Alligator mississippiensis: one gene and its partners. The protein of the gene in region 1 purifies or fractionates together with the protein of each later gene. This does not show direct contact. Links are inferred from orthologs where the notes say so. Each region holds a gene or a part of one and is shown on either strand. Other genes may lie near its edges. The genes, in order: GOSR1, STX5, STX12 and BET1L.

The links.
Region 2: the proteins of GOSR1 (region 1) and STX5 purify together in Homo sapiens (affinity purification with western blotting; 3 studies listed by BioGRID, with this or other methods). This does not show direct contact. The link is inferred for Alligator mississippiensis from reciprocal best matches to the Homo sapiens genes GOSR1 and STX5.
Region 3: the proteins of GOSR1 (region 1) and STX12 purify together in Homo sapiens (affinity purification with mass spectrometry; 3 studies listed by BioGRID and IntAct, counting the BioPlex papers as one, with this or other methods). This does not show direct contact. The link is inferred for Alligator mississippiensis from reciprocal best matches to the Homo sapiens genes GOSR1 and STX12.
Region 4: the proteins of GOSR1 (region 1) and BET1L purify together in Homo sapiens (affinity purification with western blotting; 3 studies listed by BioGRID and IntAct, with this or other methods). This does not show direct contact. The link is inferred for Alligator mississippiensis from reciprocal best matches to the Homo sapiens genes GOSR1 and BET1L.

What each region holds. Positions count from the first base shown.
Region 1 is NC_081837.1:1,807,745-1,815,195, forward strand, and holds the start of GOSR1 (Golgi SNAP receptor complex member 1), read left to right. Parts: upstream 1-4,447; 5' UTR 4,448-4,714; coding exon 4,715-4,796; intron 4,797-4,992; coding exon 4,993-5,113; intron 5,114-7,203; coding exon 7,204-7,291; intron 7,292-7,451. Other genes in the region: CPD (carboxypeptidase D), read left to right, coding at 253-479. UniProt on the Homo sapiens protein: Involved in transport from the ER to the Golgi apparatus as well as in intra-Golgi transport. It belongs to a super-family of proteins called t-SNAREs or soluble NSF (N-ethylmaleimide-sensitive factor) attachment protein receptor.
Region 2 is NC_081838.1:3,271,963-3,278,844, forward strand, and holds the start of STX5 (syntaxin-5), read left to right. Parts: upstream 1-3,867; 5' UTR 3,868-3,972; intron 3,973-4,003; exon of another isoform or gene 4,004-4,112; intron 4,113-4,129; exon of another isoform or gene 4,130-4,153; intron 4,154-4,281; 5' UTR 4,282-4,294; coding exon 4,295-4,480; intron 4,481-4,586; coding exon 4,587-4,657; intron 4,658-4,816; coding exon 4,817-4,872; intron 4,873-5,036; coding exon 5,037-5,107; intron 5,108-5,219; coding exon 5,220-5,336; intron 5,337-5,719; coding exon 5,720-5,776; intron 5,777-5,882; coding exon 5,883-5,949; intron 5,950-6,092; coding exon 6,093-6,196; intron 6,197-6,285; coding exon 6,286-6,407; intron 6,408-6,625; coding exon 6,626-6,785; 3' UTR 6,786-6,882. Other genes in the region: WDR74 (WD repeat-containing protein 74), read left to right, coding at 97-203, 303-424, 839-902, 1,193-1,336, 1,514-1,615, 1,797-1,897, 2,015-2,070, 2,189-2,331 and 2 more. UniProt on the Homo sapiens protein: Mediates endoplasmic reticulum to Golgi transport.
Region 3 is NC_081829.1:16,711,604-16,719,129, forward strand, and holds the start of STX12 (syntaxin-12), read left to right. Parts: upstream 1-4,526; 5' UTR 4,527-4,584; coding exon 4,585-4,687; intron 4,688-6,623; exon of another isoform or gene 6,624-7,526. UniProt on the Homo sapiens protein: SNARE promoting fusion of transport vesicles with target membranes. Together with SNARE STX6, promotes movement of vesicles from endosomes to the cell membrane, and may therefore function in the endocytic recycling pathway.
Region 4 is NC_081825.1:179,400,869-179,408,516, forward strand, and holds the start of BET1L (BET1-like protein), read right to left. Parts: upstream 3,013-7,648; 5' UTR 2,998-3,012; coding exon 2,850-2,997; intron 2,146-2,849; coding exon 2,054-2,145; intron 1,228-2,053; coding exon 1,171-1,227; intron 1-1,170. UniProt on the Homo sapiens protein: Vesicle SNARE required for targeting and fusion of retrograde transport vesicles with the Golgi complex. Required for the integrity of the Golgi complex.

The DNA of each region.
Region 1 (7,451 bases):
TCCTGCCCCTTGTCTTGAGAGGTGCCTGGTAAACCGGTTCTTAGATACACAAATCCTGAATCTAAAGCTACTGCATAGCTGGATCTTTGCTCAGGGAGGACCTCGGGAACAGCTGGGTGAGGAAAGCAGCTACAGTTCTCTGCTCTTGGGCAACAGCTTGCGCTGTATGTGATTGGAGTGGCCTGGAAGCCTTCAGTGGGGAGGGACGTGTGCTGCATAGCGCTGATGTGGGTGTCTTCTGTTTTTTGGCAGGTGCCACCATGTCGGCTCTGGTCCTCACAGCCTGCATCATATGGTGCGTCTGTTCCATCAAGTCCAACAGGCACAAGGACGGCTTCCACCGCCTACGGCAGCACCACGATGACTACGAGGATGAGATTCGCATGATGTCTACTGGCTCAAAGAAATCCCTCCTGAGCCACGAATTCCAGGATGAAACAGACACTGAGGAGGAAACACTGTACTCTAGCAAACACTGATACCGGCCGAGAGGGAAGGAGACTCGCTATGGACAGACCTGGCAGTGGGGGCAACTCTTGTCATTCAGAGACCTGAGCTGTTAGCTGGCAGAACGTGTAATCTCCAGAGACTTGTGGGGCTGTTTGCAACCTCCTGTGTGCCTCTGTTCCCTTCCTACTCATGCACACGTCAGTGGGTGCCAGGCCCTGTCCTGCCTGTGACACTGCTGGGTTTTAGGTTCAGGTTTGGCGTTCCATGTAACAAAAGCACTTGAGAAGTAATTTAACGGGGTGTGGTGGCATCAGGACTTCTGAACAGCTCCCTTGCCTGGTGGGGAGATGCGCTGGTGCCTGGCGGGTTCTGTAGTTGCAAAGCTTCAAAGCTGTTTTTCTACTTATCTTGGTTTTTCACTCTGTGTACTGTATCTTGGGAAGCCTGGTGCAGACTTGGATCTCAGCGGAGCTGCTGGTGAGGGATGTGTGGCTGCGGCCTGGATTTGGCTTTGGCTGCTTCACCCTTTCCCACTGGCCTGCTCTGCTTTCCCTTGGGCATGGAACGCCGTGGGGGGGGGTAGGAGAGAGCCCAGCTGCAAACTACTATGAGATCACACCTGTGATGGAAACCGAGGGCGATGAGCTTGGGTCCGGACATGAGCTCTGTGTGAAGGGGGGAGAAAACGTAGTGGAAGCTAATGCTGGAGCTGCAGGGAGGTAGCTGTGCAGCTCTGCCATTCTTAGTCAATCCCACCTCTCCTCCCCACACTCCAGTCTTTCATTTGAGTCCCGTCATGCAGCTAGCCTGTTACTTTCCACCAGCCTTCACAGCCCTGTTACTAATGTGCTGGTCACCTGCTGCGGAAGTAACTCCAAGCAGGTGGGCATGCTAGGCTGCTGTGAATCCGAGTCAGCTTTATTCCAGCTGGCCACTGCGAGGCATACCCTTGGCCAGGTCCCCCCGCCCGGGAGACAGAACTCATGTCCTGCTGCAGTGGAGATCTTGGCATGACTCGCCCTCAGGCTCCAGCGCCTGCAATGTGTAGGCCTCTTTCCTGTGCCTGTCCAACGCAGAACACCCAGCGCAGGCATCTCTGCTTCTACCCTGAGCCCTGATGTTTCTAGGCATACAGCCAGTGTGAGGGGCAGCACACAAGGAGGTTTTCCTAACTACTCGCTGCGCTGTGGAGGGATGGGGGGGTTGAAGAGGGGCCAAACATGGGATAGTGACTTGTGTGGGGCAAACCAGCTTTGTTCTTGACAGCACCTCACATGTGGTTTCAACAGGAGCTACTCTCTGCAAGCAAGCAATGCTTCTGCTTCTTCGTGTGGCTGGGTCTGTTCCTTGTCATGGTTTAGACGGTGTGCCTAGACCAGCTGGCCCCCTCCCCAGTGCTTGGTGTCTGAAGTCTTTGCACCTCCTTTGAGCATCCCTGCTCTCCGGGCAGGGTGTTGCTGCTCATCTCTGTCATGCTTGCAGTAACTGGGTCGGGCTCTCGCATGACACGAGATGCTGCTGCCAAGAGGGAAGAAAAGGAGCACGAACATTGCAAGAGCCAGGGAGTGGCTTCTAAGGTGGAGGCTAGGTCCTCTAACCTCTGCCATACTGCCTTCCTGCCCTGGCTGTCCCTGCTGCTTTGCTGCCCTTGTGCTCGTGCCCTGCAGGGCCCTGCCACATGAAGAGCTGCCGGCTGGTGTTGAGAACCTGACTTCTGCCAAAGGGATAGAGTAGGGGTCGTAAACCAGTGCCCACTTCTTCCTGCCTGGGCCCACAATGCATCCACATGCATGATGTAGAGAGCAGCAGCTTCTGCTCCTCCCGTCCCAGTGGGTACATAGGGCAGAGCTGGAGCAAAGGCAGCCTGCATGCAGGGACCTGGCCGTTGCTTTTGGAGCAGGGGGGAGAGCAGTGGTGTGTCCTGCGGGAGCCGTACCCCACTGATGGTATCCCAGCTCGTCTCCTGGCCCTGGGTCTTGGCAGCATGATGCCTCCATTTCACAGGGCTCCCATGTAGGCTTCACTAGAGACCCTCCCCTGGGAAGAACAGAGCCCCCGGTGCTGGGGACTGATGCACAGCTCCTAGCCACGGGCCTGGCTGAGTAGGAGTCCTGGGAGCTGCGTTCTTCTGGGGGAAGAGAGCAGCTTCCTCTTAACACACAAGGGCTCCTGCTTGACCCTGCAGGGACGCTCCCCAACGGGAGGATTTCTGGTCCCAGGCCTTGTCCGTGCTGGAACGTGCCTCCTGCATCGTTTTCCCTCCGCGTGAAACCAGCGCTTTGCAGATGAAGAGATCGGGCGACGCTTTGAACGCACCTTCCCGCTTGCAGCTGGTGTGCAAGGACCCGGGAGCTGCGGGTCGGTCTCTTCCCGCCGCCCTACGGCTCTGCAGGGTTGAAAGAGCTGCTTTCATTGCCTCTTCTCCTGCTTGCTACAACCGGGCGCCGGCTCCGGCGTCCTCGCCGCGCCGAGGGTGGGTCTCGGGCCTGTGCCCCGGGCTGCGCTGTCAGCGTTCCCGGGCCCGCAGCAGGCCGGTGCCCCGCCTGAACCCCGGGCTCTCCGCTTCGTCCTTAAACGAGAACAGCTTGGGCCCTCGCAGCAAAGCTGGTTTCCAACGCGCGCCTCCAGCAGGCCCGGGACGAGGCTGGAGCTTCCTAATGGTCCCCCCACGTCCCACCAGCAATAAGCCTCGTTAGGCGTCGACGAGCCCTTCGAGGAGCTCTGCACCACAGGCTCGAGGCCGCCTGGGCCGGTTTCTCCGCGGCCTTCCTCAGCCCTCCTTCGCCTTTGCTCGTCGCGTGGCTGGTGCTCGGCCTGGCGCCGAGCGAGCGTGCCTTGGAGCGTGGACCTCGCGGCGGGGTTTACTGTCCGGCTGGCTGTAGCGTGGCGGGCGGGCGGCCTTTTTGGGCTTGTGTTTTTTCACGTGTATGCTGAGGTCTAATAATGCACATCAAACTATTTGGACGTCTGTCTGGTGTCTCTGCGCGCGGGGCTGGGGTGGGGTCGCCAGGCAGGACACCCCGGGATGGGGATGGGGATGGCTCCCTGCTCTGCAGCAAGGCAGGAGGCTGAGGGTGGCGAGGCAAGGCGGTGCCGCGCGGGGGCGCTGCGGCGGGCGGACCGCGCATCCCGGCAGCCCCCGCGCCGCGGGAAGGGAGCCGCTCTAGCGCCGCCCGCCGCTCGCCGGCCCCGGCTGACGTCGGACAACAAAGATGGCGGCGGGGGGCGGCAGCAACTACTGGGAAGGTGAGGGCGGGGGGGCTGGGGGTATGAGGGGAGGGTTGGGGGCTCTGAGGTGCGAGGGGGGGCTTGGGGCCTACGGGGCGCTGAGTGCTCCGCTGTGAGGGGAGGCCGGGGGGCGCCCTGGGGTGTGAGGGGAGGCCTAGGGGGCGACCCCGTGCCCGCCCCACGCCCCAGCGGCCCCGTGAAAACGCACGGTAGACGTCTGAATTTCTCTCCGCGGGGAAGCTGGCGTGGGAACGGGGGGTGCGTTGAGCAGAGCGGTGGTGTAAGCGTGGCGCTGGAGCCGTGACAGGCCGCAAATTGTGCAAGAGGCGAGGGTGTCGCAGGCGAAAGCTCGCCCGACTCTCGCCCGCCCGCCCGCCCGCCCGCCGGCATGCAGGAGTTCCCCCGAGACGTGTGGCTCCGAGGGGTTGTCCGTAGGAGGATCGGTTCGCTCGGGGGAAGATCTTATACACACGTTAGGTGTGTTCGGGTCGCTATAAAAATAAAAAGCCGGTCAAATTTTGTCTTATTCACCTGGATCTTGTCTGGTAAGAGTGTTGCGTGGCTCAAGAAGCCTCGGCTGCTGCTTACATGTGAGGAGAGACGAGACCCCGTACGCTGTGAGGGTTGGTATGGGTCGAGTGACTTTCAGGAGGGAAACTTTAAAAAATGCCAAAGGGATTAAAGAGTGTGAGACTCTGATTTAAATCAGACCTGGTTTTTTGGAAACCTTCCCTTGAAGAAGTTTGTAAGAAATACGTACTCGGTTAAGTCTTGGTAGGTTGTAGTTTCCCCTCGGCGCCTTGGTTTTGCGGCGCTCGCAAGCACACGAAACGCCAGCTGTGGTGGAGAGGGCCGAGCGTCGTTGCTTCGTGGTGGGGAAGCCCTTTCAGTCGTGAGACCATCACGGGAACGTTGCTCTGTGTTCCTGGGTGCTCGTACCATCGTCACTGCCGTGTCAGAAATCGGACGTGCTTCTAGCACGCAGATCCTAAAGCTGGAAACGCGGCCATCTCCAGTACTTCGTCCAGAAAGTCGTATGCGATTAGGAGAGACGGTTCCCATCCTGCTGGACCTCTGGGCTGCTGATCTGCTCAGCGGTGATCGAGTGTGCTGGACTTGTGCGTACATCGAGAGATTTTTGTTTCCTTTGTAATTGATCTCGACCTGATTCTTCTTTTGAATTATGCCGTCTTCTACTCTAGTTTCCTCCTCTTTAGGCTACGCACCTAAACCTTGCCAAAGCTAAACCCAAGTGTGTTGGGCCAGGCAGTGACCTGTTTGTCCATTTATTGCTTCTTACCATTGTTTTTCCAGATCTCAGGAAACAGGCCAGGCAGCTAGAGAATGAGCTCGACCTGAAGCTGGTCTCCTTCAGCAAACTATGCACGAGCTATAGCCACAGCAGTGCCCGAGAGGGAAGACGCGACAGGTATAGGTACTACCAGACTTCTTACTGTTTATTTGCTAAAGAAGGCTGCTTCCACTGCTCTTGGCTGATCCGGGGCTTGGTTTAATCTCAGACTTCCTTTGTGGTTTCGTGCTCAGTTTCCCAAACTGCTCGGTAGAATAGTTCTTGCTTTGCACTACCATCCGGGTGTGATGTTGAATGGGCATGTTGTGTGGGGCTGGGGGGCAGTGCGTGGTCATGTTGGAGCATCTCTGGTGCTGTCATTAGGTAGAACAGCAATTAAGCTTCTATTTGTGGTGATGTCGGCAGCATGTGGATGGGTATGAGACCTAGCCTGCTTGGTGCAGCTTGCATTGCGCAGTCCATCGCAAGGTGCATATGCACCAGTTAATACATTGCAACTCTTTATGGCCTTCAGTCTTAAGACCTGCAAGCGCTTGCCAGGCACTTCACAACCCTCCACGTGGGCAGGGTCACTGCACGCTCCCCATTTCAGACACGAGGAAATCGTGGCCCAAAGCTGCTAGGGCTCTCCAAGGATGCTCAGAGAGTGAGTGGGACAGCAGGGAATAGAACTGGAGAGGTTCCTCCAACCCCCTGCTCTGACTGCAGCAGCTGGAGCTGTTTTGAGTTTTCCTCCAGGATTAACACTGAGAACCAAATTGTTTTTAAAAAAGGAAAAGCTTTTAACCTGCTGATGGCAGGTTAAAAGAGATTACATTTACAAGTCCTCCCCACCTTGTGGGCCAGGTAATTTTCTGTCTTTGGTTCCAAAATGTTAACCTTACCAATGATGCAGCCTTCCCCTTGTCAGTCAGTGCGTGTTCACTGTGAGCCTCTTGCAGTGGGGTTGTTCTGGAACTCACCCCAGGCCTGGAGTTAGAGAGATCCTCACCTGACGGCACCTTCTTTCTGAAATACCAGCATCTCGTGTCCGCCACTGATGCTTAGTGTGAACATCCTGCTGTCACCCTGTCCCCCGTGCTTCTCTGGTAGCCTTGTGCCCATGAGTGGCTTGTCACAGGTTGAGACTGTGAGCTGTCTGGGGCAGGCAGTTTATGACATATGCATATATGTAGCACCAAATACAGTTGGACTCTGATCCCTGGATGACATTTGTCACTGCTTCTGAAATATAAATATTAGAGCTCAGACACGGAAGAACAGGCGTGAGCCATGCAGGACTGCCAAGGCTTTGTTAATGTTGGTCCCCTTTCCCCCGCAGAGAAGAGAAGCACCAGTACTGTTGATTTCATCTAGTCTGTTTCAGTTCCCTTTCCCAGTGCCTGGTATTTGTTTTAGCAGATTGAGATTCCACCCCTGGAAACGCACCCTGCTCATATCTTACTGGAGCAGTTCTTTCGCTCTGCTCCAGACAGTACTCCAGAGTACCTTGCACATTACACTGATCTCTGCCTCCTTGGGACAATGCCAGGAGACAGCATGAGAACCAGTTTTCCTTCCTCCTCTTATATCAATAACTGGAGTGAAGAGTATTGCTAAAAAGATGGATGCTGTTACTCTTCTGTATCTTGGTGTTGCCTGTTCACTTCTGTCCTCTCGCTTTGTGTCGTTTGCGTTGTGGTCTTAACTTTTTGACAAGGAGAGGGGAGGTGGGACTATGTAGAGAAATCCCTGTCACGTAGCTCGGTTTTTCTTGTGCAGCATGTTAACTTTGTGTAAGGTCTGTCAGCAGGGGGAACCTAACATTTCTATTACTAGTGTATCTTTACCTAATTATTGTAACACACTTCCTTGCAAACCTGGAATTGAGCAAAAAAAAAATGTGGAGGGGGAAACCATTAAGTGTGAAGACAGAATGATTTCTGACCTGATCTACAGTACGTTTCTGTGCCAGGCATTAGCTTCCAGAAGGGTGTAGGCTTCTTTGGGGGGTTTCTGTTCCAAGGTCCTGTATACTCTTGACTGCAGTAATGGACTAGTGACACAGTTCATATGAGAAAAAATATATCATCTTTTTCTAAATGTAATTTCTCATTTGAAGAAGCCTAGTTAGAAAATATAATCGCCCTTGTACCTATGCCCAGTATTGGCACTTTGAGTGTTCACAAAAAGATGGGCCTTCCAGTAATTGCTGCTGTTTTCTTTCCCCTTAGTTCTGACACAACTCCTCTCTTAAACGGATCAAGCCAAGACAGAATGTTTGAAACCATGGCTGTGGAGATCGAGCAGCTCCTGGGAAGGGTAATGGAGAGACTTTTTTTCTTTTTTGAATACCTAACAGGGATTTGAAGGCCTTGATGTTAATAGATGTAACAGTCATATGTTCCTGTGTAGGATGTAGAAAGTGCATTTGATGAAATGAGATTGCAGTGCACACCCACTGAACAAAAACCGTTTCATT
Region 2 (6,882 bases), on another chromosome or scaffold:
TTGTGACACCCCTTTTGCTCCCCCCCGACTGGTTCCTCCCAAGCTGTGCCCCCCCATCTGAACCCCGTCCTTCTTTTTCATCTCCTGCCCCCCCAGGCGTGAACCTGCAGAAGAAACAGGCCACGAACTACACGGCGTCGGGGGCGCTGCGGCGGGATGAGGGCGTCTGCGCCATGTGCTGGGGGGACCCCCTCGAGTCGGAGGTGAGGGGCCGGCTGGAGCCGGCCGGTCAGGCCCCGGGGGGTGGGGAGGGGGGTCTGCAGGAGCTTTGCGTGACGGTGCTTCCCCCTCCCCCGGCCCAGATCCTGGTGGGCTGTCTGGACCGGTCGGTGAAGCTGTTCAGCACCGAGAAGGGGAAGTTCACGGAGTCGCGGCTGTGCCCTGGCGGGGAGGGGCCCTTCCGTGGCCTGGCTGTGCAGGACGGGTACGGTGTCCGAGCCTCCCCCTTCCTTCTGCTGGCCCGGTGGGGGGCTGTGGTTTAATCCCCCAAGGCCTGGCGTCTGTCCAGCCCCGTCCTCCCCCCTCCTTGGATCCGAGGGGCAGTAGTTTGCTGCACGGCTTCCTCCGTGCCTTGCGTCCCAGGCACCCGTCTCCTCTCCCTGCCAGAGCCCAGGCAGGGGTCCGTCTGCTCCCTTCCCCATGGGGCAGCCTGGGCCCTTGAAAGGGGTTAGATGTTTCCGCCCTCCCTGGGGTTCCCTGGGCACCGTTCTCCCCCTGCCGGTTTTGTCCCTCGCTCCTGGGGCCTCCTGGCGTTTGCAGCTGCTCTTAGCGAGATTCTCTGTGTCTGTGTGTACGTCTGTCTGTGTCCGTGTCTGCCTCCATCTCCTGGCCCCGGCAGCTCCCTCATCACCTGCGTGGAGTCCGGGCTTCTCAAAGTCTGGCACGAGGACTCTTCTGAGGCTGTGAGTCTTTGGCAGGAAGCAGGCCGGGCTGGGGGAGGGGTCCCATGGGAAACTGGGGGGGTGCCTTGTCCCATTCCCCCCGCCCAGTTTCTGAGTGTCCAGGGCTGGTTCCTGGCTGCTTTGGCAGGGAGGGGCAGAGCCTGACCGGTGCCCCTGGGAGGGGATGTGAGCTGGGGGTGGGGACACACCACATCACACCCCGTCTCCAGTGCCCGTCAAGGCTGGGGGGGATGTAGGGTGGCCCCCTGGGTAACATCTCTCCTGTGCTTGTCCTCCCCCCACCTTGCCAGGCAGAGCTGCAGGTGGGGCCCGGCGTGTGCCGTATGCGGCAGAACCCGGCACGGCCGCAGTGCGTGGGCACGGGCGGGAAGGAGAACGCTCTCAAGGTCTGGGACCTGCAGCAGCCCCAGGAGCCCATCTTCCGTGCCAAGAACGTGAGTGACAGCCCTGGCCTCACTGTCCTGTCCTGTTCTCCCCCCCACCCCACTGGGCCTGGGCATCCTCAGCCCCCCACCCCTGCCCCTTCCTCATGGCTCCTGTCCGGCTCTGTGGCATCACCCACGTGTACTCCCCTCCCCCCCCCAGGCTCACCCCTCCTTTCCCCCCGGAAGGTGCGGCACGACTGGTTGAACCTGAGGGTGCCCGTCTGGGACCGCGACCTCCAGTTCCTGCCTGGCTCTGAGAAGATCATCACCTGCACTGGGCACCACCAGGTGGGAGCAGGGTGGTGGGAGGGAAATCGGGGTTGTGGAAGGAGGGGGGGTTGTAGGGACAGGTTTGGGGGCAGGGTGTTACTTTTAATAACAGGAACGCTGTGGTTGGTCCATCCCCCACCTCCTGCCTGGGCAGCTGGCCATGTGGGGAGGGCACCCTGACCCCTACTCTCCCTCCTAGGTGCGTGTCTATGACCCCAGCTCCCCACAGCGGCGCCCTGTGCTGGAGGTGACATATGGAGAGCACCCGCTCACTGCCCTCTCCCTTGCCCCCGGGGCCAAGTGAGTGCCTGGGCCCCCAGACACCTGAGTTCTCCCCTGCTCCGGGAGAGGGGTGGGGGCTGGGGGTGAGAGCAGGGGGGTTAGGCGGCCCCTTGCTCACGCCTCATCTCCCTGCAGCTCGGTGGTGGTGGGCAGTGCCCGCGGGGACGTGGCCGTCATTGATCTGCGACAAGGTGAGCCCTGGTGGGGCTGCGGGTGCTGTCAGGGCTGTGGGGGTGTCTCCCAGGCTTTGCTCCCTGGGGGTCTCAGGCCTGCTCACCGGCCCCTTGCCTACCTCCCCCCTTCCGCCAGGGCGGCTACTCAAGTGCCTGAAGGGCTTCGCGGGGGCTGTGCGCGGGGTCCAGTGCCACCCGACCCGGCCCCTTGTCGCCTCCTGTGGCCTTGACCGCTTCTTACGCCTGCACGGCCTGGACGACAAACGCCTGCAGCACAAGGTGAGCTGGGACCCCCCCAGCACCCTCCCGAAGCACCCTAGCTGGCATCTGTCCTATGGCCCCCCAGCGCTGTTTGCTCCTTCCTCACTTGGTGCCCCCTTGGCCGCAGGTTTACTTGAAGTCTCAGCTGAATTGTCTGCTGCTGACCAGCCGAGAGGCTTGGGAGGTGAGTGGAGGAGGGCGGGGGCGGAGGGGGGGGTCCCAGGGCCAGGACGGCAGGGATGGGGAGCAGGTAGGGGGCATCTGAGGTGTGGGGGGGCAGGGGACCCTTACAGCTTCTGGGATGGAGACTATCAGTCCCCGCAAGGACAAAGACCCTGACCTTGATGTCTGTACCCCCCTTTCCTTGCTCCCCCAGGACGAAGACCCCGACCCAGCCAAGGCGGAAGAGGTCAAGGAGGAAGAGGATGAGCTCTGGGCCGCCATGGAGACTGTGCGCACCCACCCTGCCCCCAAGCGGGCTGCGGACCCAGGCGCGGGGGCTGTGAAGAAGCAGAAGAGAGCCCGGGCGGGGCCCTGAGGGGGGGCCGCCCCTGTGGGGGATGACGGACTGGGCTGGGGCAGGTGCCCCGTGCGGGGGGGTGGGGTGGGGTCTGCCCCGTGTATTGGCTGCTGTGCAGCAGAGCGAGGTAAAGGTGCTGAACCTCTGCCCTGTGTCCTGGGGCTGTTTGGGGGGCGGGGCCGGGCTTCCCCTGGGCCACCCCCGTGACATCACAAAGCCCCGGGGGCGGGGCCAGCCCTAGCGGGGGCTCCGGGCACCTAGGACCTATGGGCTGCCCTCAGTCCCGCCCGCAGCGCCCCCCCGCGGCGGAGGCCAGGACCCCCTCAGCCGCAGGTGGGCGGAGCCCCCGGGGCCACGTGGGGGCGGGGATCCCGGTGGGGGGCGGGGCTCGGGAGGGTCCTGGAGTCACCCGCGGGGGGCGGTGCTCGGCTGCCCGGAGGGGGCGGGGCGCTGGGTGACGTCACAGAGGCCGCACGTGGGGAGACCCCAGGTGCTGACCCCGCCCCGCCCCGCCGTTGCAGACCCCCAGGGGCAGCCGCGGCCCAAGCAGCTGCGCCTCGTGACGCCGGGGCCCGGGCCGGTGTCGGAGCGCGAGGCCTCGGACAACGTGCGCATCCGCGTCATCTGGCGCCGCATGTCCCTGTTCGGCAGCCGGCGCGACTCGCTCAGGAGCACGCAGAGCGAGGAGGAGGAGGGCGAGAGCCCCGCGCCGCGCGCCCCGAGCCCGAGCCCGCACCAATAAACCTGCCTGGGCCTGGGCCTCCGCCTGCGCCGTGTGTGGCGGCGGCGGGCCCGGGGGCGGGGCTGCGCTGGGCTGCGCGCGCCCCTCGAGCACGGCCCGGGGGGGCTGGTTGAGCAGAGCGCGGGGGCTGCAGAGCGAAGGGGCGGGGCCGTGGGAACCCCGTGTAGCGGGCGGGGCGCTGCGGGGCAGGACGGCGCTGTGCTGCGCGCGTCGCCCTGGGGCCTCGGGGCAGGGCCTCCCCGGCAGCAGGGGGCGCTGGCGGCTCCTTTAAGAGCGCGCGGGGGGCGGGGCCACGCCGACGTGCGCTGCGCGTGACGTCGGGGGAGGGGACGTGGCAGTGACGTCGCTCCCGGCCGGCGGGTCCCGGCAGCCGCGTCCCGATCGTCGCCGCGTCCCGGTGAGACCCGGAAGCGGGGCGGGCACCGACGCTGGGGGGGGGGCGGCGGCTTCCGGGACCGGCGGGTGCTCCTCACCCCGCCAAGCGGTGCCCCCATAAAGGCCCCCCCGGAAGGGGTCTCCCAGCAGCAGACGCGCCCCGTATGTGTCCCCGCGAAATGGCTCCCCCCGCTGCCCCACCAGTGCGTTCCCCCCCGTGCCTGCGGGCACCTCCCCCTCGCGGCCTGGGGCTGCTGCGCGGGCACGGCGGGGCCTGGGCGGGGGGCGACGTGTGTCCAGCACGAACGAACCCCCCCCCCCTCCCCGCCAGGACATGAGCCTCGATGAACACGCGCCGACGCCACGGCTCTAGGACCGCGGCACCGGGAGTCTACCTGGGACCCTCGCAGACGCAGGTGCTGCCCTCCCCCGCCGCCCCGGCCCCGCTCCCGCCCCCCCCGGACGCCATGTCGTGCCGCGACCGGACCCAGGAGTTCCTCTCCGCCTGCAAATCCCTGCAGAGCCGGCAGGTGGGTCCCGCGCGGGGCCGGGCCGGGCCGGGCCGGGTCAGGTCAGGGGGAGACCTGCCCTTTGCTGGGGCTCGGGCTCAGGTGCCGCCTCCCTCCCTCTCTCCAGAACGGGCTGCAGCTCAGCAAGCCGGTGTCCAGCGCCGTGCGCCAGCGCAGCGAGTTCACCCTCATCGCCAAGTGAGTGGGGCCCGGCTCCCCCGGGGAGGAGGGCCGGGGGGCTGGCATGGGGGGGGGGGGTCGTGCCCATACTAGTCCAGCGGGGCGGGGGAGGCAGCCTTTTCTGCCCCCCGCCACCACCTCTGATCTCGCTGTGCCGTGCTGTCTCCCGGAGCCCAGGCGGATCGGCAAGGATCTCAGCAACACCTTCGCCAAGCTGGAGAAGCTGACCATCCGTGAGTGGGGTCCGGCGGGGGGGCCAGGCTGTCTGCGGTGTGTTGGGGGGGGGCTGTCCGAGGTGCTGCCAGGGTTTGATGTTGTTTTGCGGCTGGGAGCGGGGGAAGGTCTTCTGCTCGGGCCCCCGAAGCCCCCCGTGGCCTGACTGCCCCTCGCCCCTCAGTGGCCAAGCGGAAGTCCCTGTTCGATGACAAGGCGGTGGAGATCGAGGAGCTGACGTACATCATCAAGCAGGTGAGCGGGGAGGGGGGACCGCCCTGGGACCGAAAGCCCCTGCCCTGGGGTTGGGGGGCATGTGGGGCTTCCCTCCCAGCAGATGTGACGTGCGTGACTGCCCCTTCCCCAGGACATCAACAGCCTGAACAAGCAGATCGCGCAGCTGCAGGAGTTCGTGCGGGCCAAGGGCGGGCTGAGCGGGCGGCATGTCCAGACCCACTCCAACACCGTGGTGGTGTCCCTGCAGGTGAGGGGACACTGGGGGTGGTTTGGGTGGTTCTGGCTGGGAGCTGACAAGGGGCAGCTGACAAGTCTGGAACGGGCTCCCAAGGAAGGTGGTGCTCTCCCCTACCCTGGGGGTCTTCAAGAGGAGGTTAGACGAGTATCTAGCTGGGGTCATCTAGACCCAGCACTCTTTCCTGCCTATGCAGGGGGTCGGACTCGATGATCTATTGAGGTCTCTTCCGACCCTAACATCTATGAATCTAGGGGCATCTTGGGTGAGGCACAGGCCCAGCGGGCGGCAGTTTGGGGGTGGAGGGTGGTTGCAGCAGGTGCCGTTAGGACTGGTGCGGGGGGGGGGGCGCAGCGCAGTATAGGCCCAGCCAACTTTTGGTCTCTGCCCTGCAGTCTAAGCTGGCTTCAATGTCCAATGACTTCAAGTCGGTGCTGGAGGTGAGAACAGAGGTGAGTGTGCAGTATGCCTGTCCGCTACCCCCAAGAACCAGAGGGGAGGGCTCCCTCTGCTCCTCCTCTCCCACACCTGTTCTAATTCCCCCTTTCTCCCCCTCAGAATCTGAAGCAGCAGAGGAGCCGGCGAGAGCAATTCTCCCGCGCGCCTGTCTCGACCAGCAACTTGGGTGAGCTGGGGGGGGCCTGCCCAGGGAAGCCTGTGGGTGGCCTGTTCTCACCGGGGCACCCTGGAGTGCTGGGGGTGGGGCACATTTTCTGGGTTCTGCCCCCCATGCATCCCCTGACCCTGCCCACATCAACCACTGCCCAGGCGGCTCCACGGTGCTGCAGGACGAATCTCGTCGGGCCTCGGGGGACGTGGCCATCGACATGGACAGCCGCACCAGCCAGCAGCTACAGCTCATCGACGAGCAGGTACCTGGGGGGAGGGGCTCTGGCGACTGTGTCGTGGGGGGCATCTCCGGGGTGAGGGGGTCCAGGGGCTGACTCTGCTCCGCTGGCAGGACTCGTACATCCAGAGCCGGGCGGACACCATGCAGAACATTGAGTCCACCATCGTGGAGCTGGGCTCCATCTTCCAGCAGCTGGCACACATGGTGAAGGAGCAGGAGGAGACTATCCAGAGGTAAATGCTCCCTGGCACGTGGCTGCCCACCCTAATGCTGCACCTCCCTGGGTCCCCCACTAATCATGGAGTCCATGTGTGCTAGAGAGATCAGGTGTTCTGGGGTCTCCCACATGCTGCCCTGGGAGGCGAGGCGGTGGGTGAATGCCTGCCCCCCCTCCAGGAGGCAAGGGGAAGCCTGGCTCTGGGGAGCCTTAGCTGAGTCTCCCTTTCACCAGGATCGACGCTAACGTGGAGGACGCGCAGCTGAACGTGGAGGCGGCCCACTCCGAGATCCTCAAGTACTTCCAGTCTGTCACCTCCAACCGCTGGCTCATGGTCAAGATCTTCCTCATCCTCATCATCTTCTTCATCATCTTCGTGGTCTTCCTGGCCTGAGACACCCTCCCCACTCCCCTGCCTCCTTGCCCTGTCTGCCCAGCCCCACCCAGGGAGCAGCACCTGGACTTTCTCATGCCCGCCGGACTCGCTGCTG
Region 3 (7,526 bases), on another chromosome or scaffold:
GGTCAGATGAATAGCATGGGGACAGTCTGCAAGCCTAGTTCAAGCCCCGCACACCAGGATTGGGCCCTGGGACTCTGTACTGCCCTCTCCATGCCCTGAATGCTGGGATTGGGCCCTGGGGGGTAGCACCACCCCCTCATGCCCCCACTTGCCAGGAATGGGCCCTGGGGTGCAGCACCATCCCCTCCTGCCCCTGTGCCAGAATTGGACCACCAGCACTCCCATGTGCCAGGATTAGGCCTTGGGGCCTAGCACCACTTGTGTCTGGACCTGCACACTGGGATTGGATGCCCAATCCAGCATGAAGAGCCTGGGGCTCCCCTTGGGACTGGAAATTTGGCAGCAGGATAGCAGTGCCACCACTCTCCATTGCCAAATTTCTGGTCCTGTGAGGAGCTCCATGAGGCAGATGACATGACAGCAGGGGCTGGGGGTTGAGCACCCCTGCATTAATAGATTGTTAGGGATTCAAAGAGGATGGAACAGAATTGCACTTAGGAACCTAAATTCACTTAGACACCAAAAAAGTGGAATAGAATCTGGCCTGATACTTATAACTAGAGAAAGATAAGTAAACTGAATTCCAGGGTAAAGAAAATCATTGGGCCTTTGTACATGCAATAAAATTGTCCTTTAAAGCAGCAAAATGCCCATTTGTGCCATTAATGGTGTTGCTATTTACATGTTTGGCAGCGTATTCTGTTTTAATGGCATTCCTATTTACATGTTCGGTGGCATATTCCGCTTTACATGACTTAGTTACTTAGCAAGGTAAAATACCTCCGAGGTGTTTTAGTTTGCTACCTAACAAAGTGCAACGGTGCATGGGGCACTGGAAACCACCGTGATCGGGGAAGCTCAGACTTGGTGGACTTCCAACACCCCATGCACTATCCCCGCCTCCTTCTGCTGCCACCAGCATACCCAACCACCCTCCTGCCTCCTTTCCGCTCTGCTCCGGGGCAAGCCATCCATTCCTGGGTGCTCCCAAGAGGCAAAGACGGTGCACGGGGTGCTGGAGCTTACCTGTCTCCCCCACAGTTGGGCGGGGGGGTGAGCTGCCGGTGGGCTGAGTGATCCCTGAGTTGTGGGGGACCCAGGTGCTTCCCTCTGCGGTGGTGGCATCCACCAGGCAGCACCCACCCACTGCCACCCAGCCCAGGTGGTCCCAGGGGGCACTGCTGCCATGGAGGGAAGCACCAGTCCCTGAACAGCGCAGGCCGGCAGGCTCCATTAAATAATCAGTTTATTTTTATGTTGTTATGTACACTCTTACCATTTTATGTCTTAAATTACTGAGAAAGTTAATTGTACAGGTTTCCCTTGCTTTATGCTGTACATGCATTTCTGGAAAATGGCACATAACTAGAATTCGCATAAAAGGAACCCACTTTACAATGTAGCAAATAGGGATACGTTCCAAGACCTTGACTGTACTGACCCCCAGACCCATTTCTACCATTTTTACAAGAAAATTTTGGTACTCCTCAACAGCAGACAGTACACAAGCACAGGGCACTATCATAATGGGGATGGCAACTACAGAAACACGTGTCACAGACAATGAGTGAGGATCACGGATGCACCTAGACTTTATTTTGGTGCACATCACTCCCACAGTGCAATGCACAAAGTAGTCGACTGCGAGCTTCCATCACACTGATCGCATGAGAGTGAATTTACTTCACATATAACAAATATTTGGTATAAAAAGGGTTATCGCATAAGTGCGAATTTGCACATACAGAACCTGCATAACACGAGAGAAACCTGTATTCATTAATTAATAGAATTTGATTTTTTCCTACTAAGATTTTCATAGTTCAATGATATAGGTGAGTTTGGGGCTCCACCAACATCTTTACTGTGTAAACACACCAAAATTGGTAAGCAGGTAGCCCTGGCTACATTTGCAACCCACACCAGTTTTGATATACTGAACTTGCACAAATCAAAGAAGTTTAAATGCTTTCCCAAGATTAGACTAATACATCAGGGTTTGCAGTTTGAAGTCAAGAAGGCTTATGCTCCAAAGTCTGAAATCACTAAGTGCTGGTGCCTAAATACACACTTGGCTTATGCATATAAAAAATTTCACATTTAGTCTAGAGAGGAGAAGACTGAGAGGGGATTTAATAGCAGCCTTCACCTACCTGAAGTGAGGTTCAACAGAGGGTGGAGCTGTACTGTTCTCAGGGATGACAGATGACAGAACAAGGAGCAATGGTCTCAAGTTGCAGCAGCGGAAGTTTAGGTTAGATATTAGGAAGAATTTTCTCACTAGGAGGGTAGTAAAACACTGGAGCAGGTTACCCAGAGAGGTGGTGCAACCTCCATCCTTTGAGGTTTTCAAGACTCATCTAGACAAAGCCATGGCTGGAATGATCTAGTTACGGACAGTCCTGCTTTGAGCATGGGGTTGGACTAGATGTGACCTCCTGAGGTCCCTTCCAATGCTAACTTTCTTTGATTCTAAGTCTTGCGTCTAGCTCTCTGTTCATGTCATGTAAATCTGAACAGTTTTTCATGACTATCATCAGGAATCTGTGTTTTCTATTTACTGTGGAAAAAGAAGGATTTTCTCCTTTAAAGGAGAAAAACATGGGAAACAGTGGGTTTCCCCTTGCAAGGGGCTGCTTGGGGTGAGGGGAGCAGGAGAAGGGCAAACACAGGAAGGGGATGCCACATGCAAGTGCATGCAGACACATGGACATGGCAGCCAGGCATCGTGGTAGCGATCAGCTCCCACAGCTAAGTCAATGGGGGGGGGCATAGGCAAGGTGTGAGGGGGCAGGGACACATAGGTGATGTGCCAGCCGGGTGGGGCATGTGCCCCCTAAGATTTGTGTACCCACAGCAGGCACAGGACTACAACCTGGTTGAACTGGCATGGGCAGGAGTTGCCTCCATGGCCCAGCGGGTGGGACCCAGCGTGGGAGTGTGGAACAGGACAGCAAGACTCATTGCTGCTGCTGCTGCCGCCACAAACCCTCCACCAGCCATGCTGCCAGCAGTGTGAGGAGTAATGTGTGGTTGGGACTGCATTGCCCTGACATCCTCCTGCCACCAGCCACTCCTGTGCTGGGCCACTGCTCTATCCAGGAGGGGACATGGGGAGAGGGGCAGCACAGGCAACCTGAGGGGAGTGGTAGTGGCAGCTGGACCATGGCAGTGGGGTAGAGCGATGGCCCAGCGCATGAGCAGGTGGCGGCAGGAGGAGGTGAGGGCAGCACTCCCACTCCCCACCCCACCTCTGATCTGTTACTCCTTGCACTGCTGGCCGTGCGGCAGTCCTGGTGGCAGCAGCAATAAGCCTCACTGTCCTGCTCTGCCCTTACGTGCTGGCAGCTCCTGCCTGTGCCAGTCTGGCCAGGCTGCAGCCCCAAGCCCCGCTGTGGGCACACAAATCTAGGAGGGGACATGCTGCCCCCCTTACCCCTCTAACAAGTTGCCTATGACATTGCCTATGGTCAGGCATCCCACCCTGTCCTACACACACACACCCCCACCGGGGGGTAGCAAGTTGGGAGAGGCAGCAGTGGGGCTGGGGGGATTCAGGGGCTGTGGTTTGGGGGTGAGGAGCACTGATGGGGCCAGGAGGCTGTGGGCTGGGAGTGAGGGGCACCAGCATATCAGGGCTGCTCAGTGCCACAAAGCAGCGGCAGGGGAGAGAGGGGGGAAGGAACAGCTGCAGCTGGACCCACATCCCGGCGAGCGAAGGGGGCAGGGAGAGCTCTGATTTTCCATGATAAAAAAAAGAAAACCAGAAGCAAATGCTAAAGTGTATAGATATTTAAAAGTCATTGTATTATGATGATGAAGGTAAGCTTCCAAATTGCTTTAAAATTGCAAATACATCAATAAAACATTGCGTTCAGCTGATACCTGTGTATACATAGCGGCCTTTCATTTTAATCACGAAAAAACAGTGATGCGTGGGTTGTAATCGGATAATTTCGGGCGTTTAAACAGAGAAAACCGGGACCCTGATTCACCACATTAGAAACTGTGTGATCGAGTGACTAGTTTTCGATTGAAGTCAGTCAAGGCTATTCACGTGCCCGGAGCTGCAGCCGCCGACGTGTTTGCAGAATCGGGGCCTGCACCCGCCCCCTCCTCGCTCGGCCTGTAACAGGCTTGTGCGATTCCGCGGAGCCTTGTCCCAGCGACAGACACTGAGCTTGGCCTCCACAGCTACCATGCCATTTCAGATGAGTTTGAGGCTAGTGCAGATAGAAATGTATGATTTAAAGGAGCGAAAGCAGCGGTGGCAGTCGAGCTGACAGTCACGTAATCAGGACAGGCAATGCAGTGCAGTACTGACACCATCGCGATTGTGGACGCGGGGTCAGTGGCGGGAGATGAGGCCGAGGCGCCGCGCGGGGCCGGAGCGCAAGAGAACACGTGCGCGGCGCCGCGCGTCCCTCGTTGCCATGGTCCCCGCCGCTTCCGGCGCGTAGGCGTTGGCGGCGGGGGCGGGGCCCAGCCGGGTTGGCTTCCCTCACGGCGCATGCGCGTGGCACCGCGGCGCTGTCCCGGCTCCGGCCCGATTGATCCCGCGGCCGCAGCTCGTCCGGCGCCGCCATGTCGGGCCCGCGCGCCCCCCGCCCCGCGCCGGGGCCGCCCCGCGACTTCGGCGGCATCATCCAGACCTGCAGCGCCAACGTGCAGCGCATCGCGCAATGCAGTGAGTGCCCCCCCCCCCGGGCTTCCTGGCCTCAGGGTCCGCCCCACCCCTCAGGCCCGGGCCGCCCCGCGCAGGTGGGGCCAGGGAGGAGCCGGCCCCGGGTCAGATCGGGCAGTTGTGCGAGGGGGGCGCGGTCCTCCTCCTTGGGTGTCTCCGGTGTTCGTCATTACGGTGGTTTCCTGGTTTTGCAGCGTGTCCGTGTCCCCAGCGCTCTTGTTCCCTTTCATTAGCCTGTCCGTTAGGGGGGTGCTCCACTGCCATCCGCACGCCACCATCATGTTTCGTGGATGCCTCTGTTGCCTGCCCCCTTTGTGTGCTGACAGGGACCCTGGTGCACGCCCACCTGGCCCAGCCTCTTATTGAGGTTCCCCGCACCTTTTTATTTAGGCACTCTCTGTCTGTGGCCCCACCCAGTCCCAGGACCTCCTGGTCAACCTCCTCCTGCCCAAGCTGGCCACGTGCTTGACCAGGAAGGAGGCTGTGGCTGGGAGGGCCCGTCTCCTTTCCCTCATCCGTTCCCCAGAGTACCCCTGAGCAGCGTCCACTGGCTCCTTGAGGGCCAGTGGGCACTGTCCGGTGCGCTGTGCTCGGTGTCCCCACTGGACACACTTAATATGAATCTCTCACCTGAACTCCTGTCTCTGTTTTTTTCATTCTTTGTTCCACCTGTTCCATTCTGTTGTCACCTTTCTTGTGGCCTCCCCACCTCAGGGAGGCCGATGAGCAACCTGGTGGGCTAGGCCCATGTTTTCTTTTAGAGACGAACAAGTAGTTCTGCTGTTAGAGGGGCCACTGTTTCTGCTTGGGCCAGGTCCACAGCTCCCGGTGCACAACGAATAGGCCTGCCCGTGCAGTGGCAGGAAATTGTCAGTGCCCCACTGTGGCCACTTAGGGTGTTCTTGGGGGTTTTGTGTGTAGTTGTTTATGCAGTTTTTAAGCACAGTTTACACAGACACTTTTGTAGGATAGGTTAAATAAGGACGATCATACCTTGATCGGGGGGTTGACCAGACCTCCTGAGAGTTCTTCCAGCCCTACTTCTATGGTTCTTTTTTCCCCTTGTTTTCATGTTATCTTCTTTGCCTTTCCTGACCTTTTTGACTTGGAGCTGCCTTTCTTTCGTGTCATGCCATCTGTCTCTACTTGCATCTCTCCTTTGAGTGTGCTTTCCCTATGCGGCTTTCAGTACTACCCCAGTGCACAAAGCAATGCAGCTAGACTTCATATTATTTTGAGACCAGTGATATTTCTAAACTGTGTTATCTGTCCCATTTGGCTTGTAAGCTCTGTGGGTGCTCTTTTTAAACAGCTCTTTGATCTCTCCTGTAGCAAGTAGCAGCTGCCTTCTTTGACTGTAGGAACAGGCAGTCCATTATGGAAGAAAATGCTTAATGGTGAACCTAATTTGTAACGTCACAAGCAGAAATTCCAGATTCTCTCTCTGGAATGGGAAAGGGGAGCAGCTGCCTGAATGGGTAGCTAATAGACAGGATGCCAGATGTTGAACACATAAGATCATGGTGATTTTGTGGGGAATAATGTACACCATAACACAAAGACTCTCATTCTCAAACCCCTATGGTTGCTCATTTATGAAGTAAAGTGTAAAAAAAAAAAAAAAAAATTGCATCTATTCATGAGCTCACCAAATCTCTAAAATCTGGCATTTATTGGATTCTAGCAGGGCAGAATCCAGAGATGTGGGTTTTTCAGAAAATTTTGAAATGGAAAATTTTCCAATGCCTAAATAGATCATGGTCTGATTTTAGCATGTTTATTTGACTTGTATTTAGTAAACAGAACTAAAAAAGTACCCCCATGTTAATTTTATGTCCCAATAGCCACAAGTATTTGAACTGAAATATTTGATTAGGAAAACAAATAAATTCAGCACACTTAATGTGGTTTAAATGTTATATTCAAACAAATTCAAAGCTTTATGTGGAAAGAGATTATTTTTATTGGAATACTTGTAAACATGTAAAGACAATACACAATAGCATGGATTTCCCTTACATCATTTTTTTTCTTAAATTTAAACAAACAAAGGCACTGAAAACTGTTGACGCACTAATTTTAGCACACCCAAAGAACTGTGCAGGATATGCCGTAGTTGTCCATTCATCTACTTCAGCAGAGTTTAATTCTCTTCCACTGAGGTAATTGTGACTCCTCCAGTTTCATTCTCACTATCTGTAGAATCACTTGCACTACTTACACTACTTATTGAGGCAAATCTGTTTCAGAACTACTTGAACCACATTTCTTTTTCTAAAGGGTGGTTTTACCAATGAGTCTATGGGCAAGGATGACTTCTCACGCTACGTCTTCTTCACTAATTGTGCTTCTGACTGATTCTGCAGAAGCAGAAGATTTTGAGAAATAGAAACAAGCTTAGCAGTGCATTCGTTTGTTAGTGTATTCCTCTTTTTTTGTCTTGATTGAGCAAAAGCCTTCCAGTTCCGTTCACAAAAAGCTGCTGTTGGTGGAATGGTTAGGATCCTTAGAGCAATGGTGGACAGCAGTCTAGTGTTACAGTATCCCTTCCACCATGTGATAGGAGATGTATTCTCTGCTGCCTGCCAAGTGATGTTTTTGCTCCAAAGTTTTTCTTTTGCACGGTACTTAGCCATGATGACAGACATTGCCATTTCGTTGATGTTGGGGGCATTCTTTGCTACTTCCATAATTGTATCGAGAGCAGTAGATAATTCATTTTTAGATAAATGCTGTCCTCTGTGTTGAGGATCCAAAAGGTTTGCTGCCAGATGAACTGGATGAGAGCAAAACTCAGATCTCTTAGTAAACATTTGTTTTACTACTACTTACTCTTTTGTAT
Region 4 (7,648 bases), on another chromosome or scaffold:
ATTTAACTTTTCTGCTGTAATCATGGTCTCTTCCTTCACCCTAACCTTCCACTCTCCTCCATTTCCAGTGAAAACAAGTATACATTAGACCTTCCACACACTGCCCGTGACATCACTGCCTGCATGCCAGCTCTGCTGAAGCCTGAATAGGTTTATCTTGCCTTGCTTTCAATATTGTGGTTATCTTCTATAGGGGTTACATGCCCTAGCTACCCAGATTCCAACCTGCAGACAACCACTTCCCAATCACTCACAGAAACAGCTTGACCACATCAATCCCAAACTCAAACATATCAAAGGAAGGGATTCCAATGCCAAATTGAATCATGAAGTTATTCTTAGTCTAGAAATTCTTGGTGGGCACATTTTAAGCTACAGACCTGGTCTTGTGGCCAAATAGCTTGCTTATTACTTTAAGTACATAAAATGCTTTGAAATTAAATTGTATCATATGAATGAAAATCATTATATTAAGCAATGGAAGAAATCTTGAGGCAAAAAAGTTTGCTTGTGTTTGCTAACGTCAAGTGTGAAGCTAGGGGATTTTCCAGCCACAAATGCATGTATTGGCTGCACAAGCCATTCCCCAAGTCCCTGGATTCTCCATCAGCAATAAAGAGTTTACGAAACATGCCAGATTTTGTCTCAAAAATCACCGTTTTTTAAATACCCGTGGTAATTAAAAATGAGAAGAAAAAGGAACAGAGTACTTGATATTATTAACACTACAAACCCTGATTCCAATTCTATACATCCAGGGCATTTCAGAGGCTGTAGAAGTACCCCCAAGAGATTTATAAACACTTCCAAAACTCCTAAACAGGAGTGACAAAGGCAGGCAGGCAGGCTTATATTATCTTCATAGGAGCCAGTTTGTAATCCTAGTAAGTAAGTAATTTCTACCTGCATTACTGAACTATACTACTCCCTATCAGTGTCAACTGTTATTAAATGCTGGCTGTATTTGCCCAACATAATATTGGGAGCTTTTAAGTTTCTGTTGGCTTATGTACTTAAAACCCCAAACAATGTTTTCATGTTACCTGACATGTGCTGGGTTGTTAAACCCAACTGCCAGAGTTTGATCACCTTTCCTTCTGAACTACAGAGCAAACTCTTTGAAGTCAGCACAAAACCATTCACATGTTAGACATCTCACCAGTGTCTTACCATGCCATCTAGATAGTGATTTTGATCTTCAGCATCTTTGTCAATATCCAGTGCCAGCTAATCAAAACACAGAAGGATGCAAGTGTTACTATCTTCAAATTAACAGATCAACTCCTAATATATCTGAAGCTGGTGAAACCCCAACCACACAAACAGGCCATTACTTCCACTGCCTCCTACACATTACACACTGCCATGTCTGTTCTATGCAATGAAAAAAAGAAGACGGGGGAGGAGGGAGATTCTGCCTACATTTTAAGATTATATAAATTCCTGCGCTTTGCAGCATTGGAAATAAAGGTCTATAGTTGGAAGCTTCTGTACATGAAATGACCATGCCTATCATGAAGCAGTAACAGAACACAGATTCTGGTTTTCTGATAATGATGTTGTCTGTGCATTACAGCCATATGTTAACTGAGGCTTTTGACATTAGTGGAAGCAAATGATTACTGTGAATACTCCTTTAATAGCCATGGATACACCACGACTATCATCACCATAAATATCATGACTCCCTCCTGAAGGAAAACTGAAAGTGTGTTTTTTATTAATATTTTTAACCTGGTTTTATAACTACTTTCTTCCACAGAAGGCACGCCTTGTCTGACATGTTTACCTGCCTTGGCCTCCCTGCCGCTTACTTTTTATATCAAATTTCTTCTCTAGCTGCCACTAAGACCAGACAATTTTGGTGATGAGAAAATTGGTAAAATTTCCCAGCTACATCATTAGAAAAGTTAACTATGCAACCCACCACAGGCTGTATCATATCCTGCATCTTCTCAAACCATGGAATAAAGAAATCACCCCTGTGTAAACCAGCTCCTTTCTCACAGTGAACACAGCAAGGAAAATGGACCACATGGAGTTAGTAACTAACCGATTTCAGCCTGGTGACTTTGGTGGCAAGATTGTCTGCCATATGTTTGTTCTCGACATCCAACATGTCATCCATGCCGTTCTGGCCCTGGCCTGAAAGAGAGAGGAGGAGTCTTATCAGTTATGACACAAACATCAGCATGTAAACTCATCACAGCTGGTAAGAGAACTGGGATTTCTGTTCGCAGCGCCACCGCCACTTTGTTGTTAGTTAGGTGACTCCGAGTACCATTTTAAGAACCGGTTTTTCCTACCCCTGAAATGTTACCCCAGATGTATGATATGTATCCGAGACACCCAACATACATGCAAACCCTGATCCTGCTTTAGCTACACAGGTGCAAAGCTTGAGAGCGCTCAGATTCAATTACTTATAGATATATTATCTGTGTATGTGTGTATACACACACATGCACACCTATACCTAGATATGCAGACACACATGTACATTTTATATATATATATATATATATACACACACACACATACACACACAGGTGCGTGTATCTGTGTATCCACATACAAACACACATATATTTGTTCTTCTTTGACACACGACCATCTACAGTGTGTACAAGACAGGTCAGCTAGTGTGCCGGAGGGGACGTAACAAGGTACCCGCATCAGCAGCTACCGACCCACTGCAGATGTATGCCCCGAGACATGGGGGTCACTGCAGGACGGGTGGGGTGGCAGGGGGCCTGCAGCTCTTACGGAGCCAGTTATCAAAGGGACAGGTTGAAAACATCTCCCGCCTAATACCTGCCCCTCCAAGCGATACAAAAACAGAGACGTACTCCTAGCACCTGGGCAGCACTGGCAGGCATGAAAGGCACCTAGCGCCAGCCTCTGACCTGCCAGCAGCCCAAGCAAGCCCCGGCCAGGCAGGTGAGCGCGGTGGGAGGGCAGGCACACAGCACACGGGGTCGGAGGAAGAGGAGGCATCCCCCCATCCCCGGGCCGGGGCTGGCAAAGCAAAACCTCCCCCAACCAAACAGCCGCATGTGCGCCCCCCCACCGCCCCAGTCACGGGCAGCCCCAGGGACACCCCCAGCATGCAACCGCACGACCCACGCCCGAGCCCCCGGCAGGGATCCGAGCTGAGCGCCCCGCGGCCCCGCTCACCGCGCCCCCACTCCGCCATGGCCGCGGCCCGTCTCCGTGGCCGGCCCCGCCCCGGCTGCTGCGGGCGGAGCCACCGCCGCTCCTTGCCCCGCCCCCGCGCCGCCTGGAGAGAGCCCGGGGCACAGGGGCCGGAGACACTGGCCTGCGGCCGGCTTCCTCCCTCCCTCCCTCCGAGCGGCAGCAGCCGGGGTCTCCAGTTGCAGCAAGGGCAGATTAAGCTGTTAGGGGGAAATAAACCCCGCTCACGCTAGGAAGGGAGCACAGTAAAGGAGCAGGTCGCCTGGCAAGGAAACGCCGTGTATCTGCGTCCAGGAAGGCAGGGTTCCTCAAGCGCTCCCGGGCAAACCTGCTCTTCTGGTGCCCGCCCCGGCGTCGGGGCTTCAAGCCCACTTGATGCAAACGGCAGCCGCTCTCTAGCTCGCTCCTGCGGCCACACGGCTGAGGCGGGGCGAAAGTCGGCGGCATCTGAACCGCTTGGGCCCGCACCTAGGACACCTGCTAAAGGATTTTGGAAACATCTGCAGCCTCTGGTGAGGTGGAGGATGTTTGCGGGCTGTAGGGCCAGTATGGTTCTGGGCTGACTCCGGGATTTGGACTTGATTTGACTGGGAACATGAAACATTTCTTTAAAAAAACAGGTCTTCCAGAGGTGGTGGCCTCTCCATCCTTGGACGTTTTTAGGACCCAGCTAGACAAAGCCTTGGCTGGGAAGATGTAGTTGGGGATGGTCCTGCTTTGAGCAGGGGTTGGACTAGATGACCTCCTGAGGTCCCTTCCAGCCCACATTTCCTAAGACACCACTCATAAAAGCCCCTCGCCTCTCTGGCAGGTTTCCTGGGACATCAGGGCTGCAGCATCCCTCCAGCACTGCCAGACACAAAGGGCACGCTTGTCCAGCCGCAGTTTGACTTCCTTTTTTCTCCCCTCTATAGCAGTGACTCTCAGGCGGGGCCATGGCACCCGAGATCCTTTTTAACCGTGCCACACAATACGATGCACAGGGTAGACCCAGCGACTTCAAAGAGGAATACATAGCAGCAAGAGCCATCACACCTGCTGTGAGAGGCAGGAATTCTTGTGGGCGATTCTTTTATCGGGCCATCTGTGCGCGGTTGGGATAGACTAGTGCTTCTCAACCTTTTTAGGTTTGAGGCACCCCTCCATAGTCTCAAGGCAGTCTCCATAGGGACTGGAATTAGAATTATTGGACTGGACAAATTCTTGGGGAAAAAGGGCATCAGTATCTATTGAGCACAGGAGTTAAGGGTCCAGCCTCTGAATTCAAAGTTCCTGGACCTTAAATGCTAGAGGTTGCAAGTGATGGAAGAAAGTGAATAAAAACCAACCCTGGTCTTGTCTTGTTTACTCTCCCTTTCAGTATCCATTTTCTGCCGCTGTGTGACACAGGCCTATTTGACACATAGGGTTAACGTGCACTTTACCACAAAGCAATAGTTACTCTCCCCGCATAAGCCGCGGAACAGGGTGGGGCACCCAGGCCATGGCCTGACCAACATTTAGCACGTTAACTTAACTAGCTATGCAGTTAAAAAAATAGCTATACAGTTTTAACCGGAATGGCAATTGCGCATTTGTGGGTTATATAAATTGATGTGCTACAAGTTGGTCAGGCTGTGGCCCAGGTGGCCCACCTCGTTCTGCAGGCTATGCCCCCTGTTATTAGAGGGGGCAATTGGGTATATGTCAGTTGATTTCAGGGGACAACTAAAGACAAAACAGGACTGGGAGTGAGGTCAGAGGTTCAAAATGAGTACACCAAGGAGGGGGACACTGAGCAGAGTACACTGGACAGTGCCCACTGAATAAGTCCAGGGAGCTAGTGGACACTGCCAAGTGAAACTTTGTCTGGAGACATGAATGGACCAGGCACAGGAAAATGGCCCTGCAGTCCCCGGGGGGCCCCCAGCCAGAGCCTCTGTGTGACAGGCCTATTTGACACATGTTGGGAACATGGCCCTTATGCCCACAGATCAACAATTACCTCCCCTTAATAATAGAGGGAGCTATTGGGTATGCATCAGCTGAATTCATGGGACAAAAAAAAATACAAAACAAGGACAGGAGTGAAGGTCACAGGTTCAAAACGAGTGCACCAAGGGGGACAGGCTGAGCAGAGTATGCGGGACAGTGCCCACTGGCCCTCAAGTCCAAGGAGGCAGTGGACACTGCCCAGTGAAACTCTGCCCAGAGACATGAACAGACCAGGGACAGGAAAGTGGCCCCACAGTCCCCAGGGGCTGCCCAGCCAGAGTCTCTGTGTGATACAGGCCTATTTAACACCTATTGGGGACATGGGCCTTAGGTTCACATGTGTCAACTGATTACTTGAGAAAACAAAAGAAGCAGGGACAGAGTAAAGGTCATAGGTTCAAAACAAATGCACCAAGGGTAGACATCATGCAGAGCACACGGGACAGTGCCCACTGGTCCCCAGTCAAGTCCAAGGAGCCAGTGAACACCTCCCAGTGAAACTCTGCCTGGAGATGTGGATGGTCTCCCTGGCCAGAGCCTCTGTGTGATAAAGGATCCCCGGCCAAGATGGACCTATAGTCTGATACAGTCAATGGCAATTCTTATGTTCTTACAGGCTGGAGGCAGCCCATCAGGAAAGGCCAGCTCTTATTTTTCACTCATGTTTAGACTACAGAAAAAAAGTAGAGCAATTCTGTTGCAAAGAACTTATGCAGGCCATTCCAGGTCTGAATGCTTTTAACACCATGGATTCCTTTCCTGACATCTCTGGGTTTATTTTGTGAATCCCATTAGCACACTCAACAGGGACAACATTGTGTGGCACCCCTGAAAGGACCTCAAGGCATCCCTGGGTGCCATGGCATCTTGGTTGAAAATCATGGGTGTAAACACCCAAACTTCTGGCTATCCTAGGACCCTATCTCAGGCCTGTGGCCTTGCTGCGTTCTTTGCAGCAGCAGAACGGCTTGATTCTTTTTTTCTGTAGCAGAAACACGAGTGATAATGAAAAGCTGGCATTTTCCAAGGGTTGCCTTGAGTCTCATGAGGGTGCCTTGAGTCTGAAACAAGGTTGAGAACCACTATTGTAGGGATTCCTAAAAAATGAGGGTTGGAAAGGACCTCAAGAGGTCATTTAGTTCAGTGGTTCTCAACTTTTTTTTGTACCAGGACCCATTTGTAAACATTGATGGCCAGTCTGGATTCACTCCGGACCCGCTGCCCCCAGGCCCTAGCCCCTCAGAGTGTGAGGCAGTGGAGGCCCCAAGCAGCCCCTGGCAGGCTGGAGCTCTGCCAGCCTGCAAGGGAAAAACCCTGGTTTCCCATGTTTTTTTCCTATAAGGAAGAATCCATTTTTAAAGTTTCTTGATCCATTTTCCAAGTTGGTTTGTGCCCCTTTCATATATTCTTGTGACCCACGGGTTGAGGAATGCTGATCTAGTCCAGCCCCCTGCTCAGACCAGGACCAGCCCCAACTACATCATCCCAGCAAGTCTTTGTCCAGCTGAGTTTTAAAAACCTCCAAGGATGAAGAGTCTGCCACCTCTCTGGGTGACCTGTTCCAGTGTTTTATTATCCTCCTCAGGAGAAAGCTTTTCCTAATATCAAACCTGAACTTCCCTTGCTGCAACTTGAGCACATTGCTCCTTGTCCTGTCATCTGCCACCACTGAGACCAGCCCTCCCCTGGCAGGCAGCAGGATCCGCCCCTTGCATTTTGCACAGTGCTCATGTTTTTTTTATATTCCTCTTGCTCATAGTGCGGGGCGGGAAACAGCCTCAACCCCTGACAAGGCTCCTGATTGCTTGTATGGTTGGCAGGCTGGTGGGTGATCTCTGCCCTGTCCCACAACCCCAAGCCTCCAGGTAAAGCAGCTCTTCCCTTTGCCTGGGTCTCCACCCAGCTTCCAGCCACCCCTCCCTGCCTCCTCTGGCTGAGAGCTGGGGAGGGCTAGGGGCAGCAGCAGTGTCCAGGAAATGAAGCAGGAAACCTGAGCCAGCGCAGCTAAAGAGAAGGTAACTCGCTCATCTTTTCTCCCTCGGATGGCTCATGGCAGTCAGACATCTCTGTCCCCTTGGCCCCTTAAAATCCCAGCAGAGGTGGCCTTAAAATCCAGCAGTTTGTTGCAGCCTCTGCCACACTTCCATGTAGATTCTCTCTGCAGGGTCCCTGCTTGCCTGAAATCGTCTCCATTTTGTCCCTTTTTTCAAGCGATCAGCAAGGACTTGCTTCACAGGAAAATAGAAAGCCACATCTCTATAATTATTCACTAATGCTGTGATCCCACAAAGGCTTCCGCAGAGGAGCTTTGCCACCAGGAGTATTTTCAGTTCCTCTTAATGGGATTGCTCCCAGATGTAAAGCTAAGCACATGAGTGAATCTCAGTAGGATGCTGGTCAAAAGGAGGAGCAGGAAACCAAGCCTCCTCCTGTTTTCTTAGGGGACTAAAGGTGACAAATAGGTCTGTTTTCTTAGGGG